Linked DNA regions of Drosophila melanogaster. The protein of the gene in region 2 interacts with the protein of the main gene of each other region in a biochemical or structural test. Each region holds a gene or a part of one and is shown on either strand. Other genes may lie near its edges.

Region 1 (3,063 bases), on a different chromosome or scaffold from region 2:
TTTTCACTTCCAAAATGGGGACTACTTACCATGGAGGCGACTGCATTTTTGGCCAAAATCGATGGCACACGCATGATTCCGGACATGTTTGGCTGGGCTGTGAGGTTCTACTGCAAGATTCTGCAAGAGATTGGACCGAAAACGAGGTTTTACGCGCTTGTAAGATGGGGTGTTTGGTGTTGGTACAAAATAAAAACAAATAACTACGTGTATCGATGTGTCTATGTGATCGAAAAAGGAAAAGTTTACAAACTTTCAAATGTTGTGTGTGAACTGCCGCTCGTCGGCACTGCAGTTCGGTTCACTGACTCGCTCAATGAACGCTGAACCGGAACTAGTTCATCGCAGAAAGGCGTTAATCCGCTTTAAGTTCAAAATGTATATAGATACCGCGTACAAGCATACATATTTTTGGAATGGAATTTTACCATCTCAGCCGTACGTATTTATTTGCATATATCGTAGAGATAAATAAACCTTCGTTCATTGAACCAAAACCTAATGAACTGTTTTTCTCCCAGCCAAAGTGGCCAGAACACAAAAATCCCAAAATCTTTAAAATGTACAAAACAGCTGATTTATTGTTTATTTGGGGGTGGTTGAACGATAAAGATTTAAAAATTCAAATGCATATTTATAGAATTACAGAGAGATTAGTGTCTTTACAAAATGTCTATTTAAAATGAGATTCACTTGAGATTCTGTTAATTTGGCGGCACCTTTTTGCCACAACGCTGGGCAAATTCCTCAGGCGTGAGATCAGCCAAATGATTAATTCCCATTTTCCAAGTCACTTCGCCCTTCTCGAACTTCCGATTGTGTTCCTCAATCCGGGCTTTGGACTCGGCGTAGATTCTACGACGCATCAGATCCTCCTCTGCCTCGTAGTTCTTGTCGAACTTGGACTATGGTGGAATCAAGTGATTTCTAAATATTGCGTCGCTTGCTAGGACATATTGGGCCTACCTTGTACTCCACCCACTCCTCATCTGAAACCAGGGACATCTTGACACTTGTAATTTTGGTGACCGACTAAATTTCGTTTCAATTCTCAGGTTTTATCACGGTTTCGCACTGAGTCACAACATATAAACACAACAAAGAAACGATAATATATGCAGCTGATCAGAGATGCCACTTCGGTGAAAAACAAACATAAATAACAGTGGGCCCTCGTTTATGAAAACCGGATACTATTCAAATTCGATTTAAATCATATGCTAAATTCTCAAACATTATAAACATTTAATGCAAAACCATTGTTACATTTTTTGGAATGACTACTCAAAAAATAAATACAAATAAAAAAAACCTCTTTTCAAATACTTTTGAATTTTGTACAATTTTCAAGTTTTTATTTATTACGTGTTTACTTCTTCGTGTGTGTCGTGTTTTTTCTTGTGTATAATACGAATTTAAATATATATTTATATGCATTTTCTTACACTCTAAACAAATTTTATGAATAAACTTTCGGCTTCTCGTTTGCTTTTTTCAAAAGTTTTTTTATTATTTGCACAGAGTGAGAATATTGACATATTTCTAATGTTAATCTAAGGACAAAATTATACAGACTTTTTCGCCTTAATGACGCAAAAAAGTTGCTAGAAATAAGCTTCTGTCGTTGCGCAAATAATCAGTTTAATTATACTTTATATTTTGCCGTTTTTTTTTTTTGTTTGTTTGTTTGTCTAAGGCTCAGCAATGCAAGTATTATGTTGTAAAGAGAGTGTTTTCAATGTGGTGGTGGGTTTGGGTAGGAAAAGCAGAAACATTCGATTTATCTGGCATTAATCATCGGGGTTTTAATTTTATGTCAGTTAATTTGAAATGTAAATGCGTTTAAGTTGTGCCTTAAAGTTTTACATGCTATGGCAGTCGTATATAGTTAATTGCAGTATTCGTTATTCATCGATTTGAATATTATAAATGGAAAAGCGATTACAAATCAAGCACATCTACTTACAAAAGAAATGCTGAAATTTGATTCTTGGAGATAATTTTTGGAAAATTCCAACCATTCTCAGTGATTGTGTTGTTTCTGCTTTCCTCAGAGTAATCGCATGTTTTAATGCGGGCGTGGTGTATTTTTGGATTTTCGTTTTCTTCATAATTTATTGGTTTTTATAAATATATATATGTATATGTATGTATAAACAGTTTTACGTACATAAAAATATATAATTATTTATATAAAAAACTAATACAATTGCTGCATGTATACAATAATTATTTATTCGTTTTGTGTGCAAATTGTGGCTGCCCGGAATTTAAAAACAAAACAAAAGAACACAAAAACATAAAACGCGCTTTCACAAAACACACACATGCCTAGAATATCAAATTGTAGTTGTTGTCATCGAATTTATTGCATTTCTAAAAAAATATTGCATTTAAGTATTATGCATGTACCACGCTTGTACGTATGTGTCTAAAAACAAAAGTTTGCCTTTGTTTCAAACAAATCTTTGTTTGTCGTTAGAGTTGCCTGGGAATTTGTACCCTTTTTTATCTGTTCATTTGCTTTACCATGTCATCATGTAGTAAGGTGTGTTGCGTAGTTATTTTATAAGCTAATACATCTAGAAGATATTTGCAAGTTACTTGTTTAGGACAAAGCGGCGGTGTCGGATATTGCGTGTACACCTGCAAACCTCATTCTCGTTTATCATACAAATTGTTGTGTGAATTGCATTTATCTCTCTCTGTGTGTGTGTGTGTGTGGAGGGGAGGGTGTGTTGCCGTGGCCATCGTATAAATTAAAAATTAGAATTATATTATAATAGATATAAGCTGTGAATGCGAATTAAGGGAGGGTGAGGGGGATTTCCCCTTAGATGCATCTCGATCGATTTTAGCTGCTCATCCGTTGCTTGTTTAGGCCTCTCTCTTTTTTTTATATAATGCTTCTTTTGCTGATCTGGCTAAAGTTTCCATTTTCTCGTGGTATCATTGTCGTTATTTTTCTCGGTTCCCGCTGATGGTGGGAGGTTGGTCAAGATTGCTACTCCTACGGATCACGCTGATGGTCAGCTTAGGCCTCGGCCTTCTTCTTCTCCTTCT
Region 2 (4,591 bases):
TCCCGGCTAACAATTATATATTTTCGTTTGTTTTATTTATGCACCGCGCAGTGCTTATTGTTGTTGCCGTTTCTTGCGGGAGAGATGCGACGCGCACGCAGCGTCGTCAATGGAGAAAAATAAAAGAGAAAGCGCCCGCTCAGCTCAGCCAGTCTCCGTTGACCGCGCGGTTGGCGAGCTTTCTTGCAACTGACTTTCGAGTTTGAACGCGAAACTTTCGATTTCCATTTCCCGATGGCGAAGGACGATAGCCATCATACGATAACGATAGCCCAATGGAAAGCAGCTGTCGGAAATGCAATGGATCCACTGAACAAATTTTGGAACAGCTGTGGCGCTACATTCGAATTGAACAAAATATACTTTAAAATTAAAAATAAAAACGATTGTGCAAAGTCAAAACGTCCCTTTTGATGCTATGCGGGCATTTTTGCACGGATCAAAGCTGTAGTTTTGGTGTAAGCTAAAAAAACAATTGGTTTAAGAGGCAGTCATTTGATTGTCTTAGGCATATAAAAACTATTTAACTGTACTTCTAAATATTTATTTATCCTTACTTTACATCTAATAGATATGTATGAAATTATTAATTTCAATGATTTTATAACAAAGGTATTTATAATGAAATAAGGGGCAAGTTAATTTAATTTCCTAACACTACGAATTAATCAGTGAACAAGATTAATCTTATTTAACTACTTAAAGCTATGACACAGAGGCATATCACACACGTCTAGACATAGGGATTCCAATTGCTGCCGTCCTCGGGCAGCAAATTGTTGGTGATCAGGAGGATGACGTCGATGATCCACCAAACGCCCACGCCGCCCATGGTAAGCAGTTTGCCCACAGCCGTGCCCGTTTGACCGAGACAGAAGCGATCCATACCGAGGAAACCCAGCAGCATGCTGTAGATCAGTGTGGTCACAAAGTAGTGATCCGTGTAGCGGACACAGGGCACTCCGGCGCGCAGAAAGGTGCGATTACCGTAGCACTCGATGTCGGCAAACACGGTGCACCAGACCATGGCGTGCTCCACCTCTTCGTACGTGGAACCACCGAACTTCAGGCATCCGTATTTCTTTTCCTGCTGCGCCGTGGCGTTCTCCCGATGATCGACGGGATCCTTGCAATCGAGAAAGTCGCGCGGCAGAAACGAGCACATCACATTCGGTCCCAGTGGATAGAAGGCCGAGTTTCCAGCTCCGCCCGAGGCGGAAGATGCCGAAGATGACGATGAGGAGGGTCCCATGCCGGAGCCCAGTTGCGCCTGAACGGGCACCACCGATTGCACCGCCGTGCCGGAGACCACAGTCTGCGGCTGCTCCTTGTCGCTGCGTGCCTGTATCGCTTGGGCATCGTGTTGTCTGGCCACCAGGAACGCCAGTAGTCCGTAGAAAATCCGCATCTTTGCGAGCTCCTTATCAAAATATAGCTAGCCAGTGTGGCCACACCTTAGCACAGCTAACAGAGCTCTGTTATCTGCGATGGCCTACCGATAGTTCTGATTTTAAGCACCACGACAACGAATGGAAATAAATAAATGCAAATAAACCACCTTTCAAGTAACAGTGCTCCTTAGCATATTTATTGGCATTAGTGTGATCGTAGTCTTTAGTTAAGTACATTTAGTGAAGTGCTATTTAGTATAATGCGTTTATTTATTTCAGACTAGTTACCAATCACGCGCCCATCTCTACATTCGATAGGCAACGGCCCTGTTGCATTGGTGTGCACACACTGGCCGCGTAATCAGCGGGCGCGAACCATTTTTTTTTTTTTTTGTGCGACAGAACAAAAACAAGAGAATAATAGACGCTTAAAGAGCATTACCCGTCCGAATTTCACGGGCAGTACGAAAACAAGAACGGAGCAGAGAGCCCGCTTAATACGACGCGTCATTTTCCACCATTTTACTGCTGTGATTTGTTTGAATTTTGCTGTGTCAGCGCATTGGAAATTCGTTGGACAAGAATAATGAATCTATTGCTCCTGGTGGCCACCGCGGCCTCCGTGGCGGCACTCACGTCCGGTGAGCCGTCACTGCTCTCGGATGAGTTCATCGAGGTGGTGCGCAGTAAGGCCAAAACCTGGACGGTAAATTCCTTTGTTTCCAACCCTTTTCTTGCTGACGTGACAAGAAAATTGCATTTTCCCGTTTCCTATCCGCCAGGTGGGTCGCAATTTCGATGCATCCGTAACGGAGGGACATATTCGCCGCCTGATGGGCGTCCATCCGGATGCGCACAAGTTCGCACTGCCCGACAAGCGTGAAGTTCTTGGCGATCTATACGTGAATAGCGTTGACGAACTTCCCGAAGAGTTCGATTCCCGCAAGCAATGGCCAAACTGCCCAACCATTGGCGAGATTCGCGACCAGGGTTCATGCGGCTCCTGCTGGGCCTTTGGTGCCGTGGAAGCCATGTCCGATCGCGTACGTAGCTTACCTTATCGATATTATAACCCCTTCCATTCTTTGTTTGTCCAGCTGATAAATTTCCCCATTTTTTTTTATTATTATTTTCTTTTTGTATTTGTTATCAATGATTTTTTTTTTTTTACTGATTTCGCAATGGGCAGGTGTGCATCCATTCCGGCGGCAAGGTGAATTTCCACTTTTCGGCCGATGATCTCGTCTCCTGCTGCCACACCTGCGGATTTGGCTGCAATGGCGGTTTCCCCGGCGCCGCCTGGAGCTACTGGACGCGCAAGGGAATCGTCAGCGGAGGACCCTACGGATCTAATCAGGTTGGTGATCTTCTCCTGCTTTAATGGGATTTTGCAAATCATATTTAGTTTGGTTTAAAAGGGCTTGCAATTTGGTTTTGCTTGCAGATGAGTTTCCAATAAAAAAAAGGGTTTGTTTTCTAACGAAGAAAAACATACTTTATGTGCAAAAATAACCTGTATTTGTACATATTGTATTTCTACGCCGAAATAGTTAGAAAGCAACTTGATTTTGTTCTTTGTTTACTTGAAGTGAACTGAAGACTCAGTTTACGACGCCATAAAAAATTGTATACCACAGATATCGCTAGAAAGCGGCTTAGTATATCATATACAAACATCCATATACACAAAGCTATATGTATATATATCATATACGAACATCTATAGATATACATGCATATATTGTGAATGCACTCCAGATTCGCGTACATCCTCAACGATAAGTTTTAGCTGCTACTAACTCATTTCCCAGATATAGTAAGGCAAACAGAAGAAAAAACGATTCTAATATGCACTTATTTTGCAGGGCTGCCGTCCTTACGAGATTTCTCCCTGTGAGCACCATGTGAATGGAACCCGACCACCATGTGCCCATGGCGGTAGAACGCCCAAGTGTTCGCACGTCTGCCAGAGCGGTTACACCGTCGATTATGCCAAGGACAAGCACTTCGGCTCCAAGTCGTACTCGGTGAGGCGTAATGTGCGTGAAATTCAGGAGGAGATCATGACCAATGGACCGGTTGAGGGCGCCTTCACCGTTTATGAGGATCTCATTCTGTACAAGGACGGTGTCTATCAGCACGAGCATGGCAAGGAGCTGGGCGGTCATGCCATTCGCATTTTGGGCTGGGGCGTTTGGGGCGAGGAGAAGATTCCGTACTGGCTAATTGGTAACTCGTGGAACACCGATTGGGGCGATCATGGTTTCTTCCGCATCCTGCGTGGCCAGGATCATTGCGGCATCGAGAGCTCCATTTCGGCGGGTCTGCCCAAGCTGTAAATGTTATATGTATTCCGGCATCAAGCTGATATATCAAAACCCCTCTATTTTCTATCATCCCTCCTTTTATTTTCATTCCGATTCGCAACTGACGTTTGTAGTTAATGTAAACAACCTAAACCTGATTGATAATAAAGTATTGTATATGACTGTGGAACTGTACTTTGCTCGTATACAGTGGGACCTCTCTAACTAGAAACAAGGCAAACAAAAAAAAGAAAATGATTATCAAACTGGAACTCAGATATAATTAAAAGCGAATAATACTATTTGTGAAACAATGCTATAACTATCCAACTATAAACTATTGTTTAGCGTAGCTATGCCTTTTTTATTTAATAGTAGAGATTAATAGTAGAGAGTATCTGATCCTCTATACTATGTACACACATTTAAATGGAACGCCGTCAATCGTTCAATCGTTAAACTGGCTAGCTGTATGTTTTGCGAGTTATAAATGTGATTAGCATCGCATTTGATTAATCAAACAAAGAGTACAGCTTGCAATCGCATTCGTCATTTGGTGCGATTTTGTTGAGTTAATTTATTATTACATTAGTTAGCTTGGCCATACATACATACATACATACATATATGTACATACATATGTAAAACTTATCTCGTTGAAGCTGCCCACAATTTGCAGCACCAAATGTCCATTCAAATTGTACACATATTTATTCACATAACATGTTTTATTTATTTTTCTCATTTGCAACATCAAATAGAACATTTGTTTTGTATTTTCAGTTTTTTTTTTGTTATCTTGTCATGAACCAACCGCTTCTCTTATCGATTTTCTGTGAATTGATTGACTGGTTTTGTAGCCACTCTTCTATTCACCGAAACTCGATATTTTTC

What was found. The genes of interacting proteins can lie anywhere in the genome.
Region 1: of the proteins of CtsB (region 2) and cer, one has a biochemical effect on the other in vitro, tested with the Drosophila melanogaster proteins (one study listed by BioGRID).

Annotation. Positions count from the first base shown.
Region 1 is NT_033778.4:19,395,658-19,398,720, forward strand, and holds cer (crammer), read right to left. Parts: upstream 1,116-3,063; 5' UTR 1,006-1,115; coding exon 967-1,005; exon of another isoform or gene 906-966; coding exon 705-905; 3' UTR 558-704; downstream 1-557. Other genes in the region: SdhA (succinate dehydrogenase, subunit A (flavoprotein)), read right to left, coding at 30-86.
Region 2 is NC_004354.4:13,779,316-13,783,906, reverse strand, and holds CtsB (cathepsin B), read left to right. Parts: upstream 1-1,736; 5' UTR 1,737-1,977; coding exon 1,978-2,097; intron 2,098-2,173; coding exon 2,174-2,434; intron 2,435-2,580; coding exon 2,581-2,748; intron 2,749-3,256; coding exon 3,257-3,730; 3' UTR 3,731-4,060; downstream 4,061-4,591. Other genes in the region: amrt (amaretto), read right to left, coding at 734-1,408.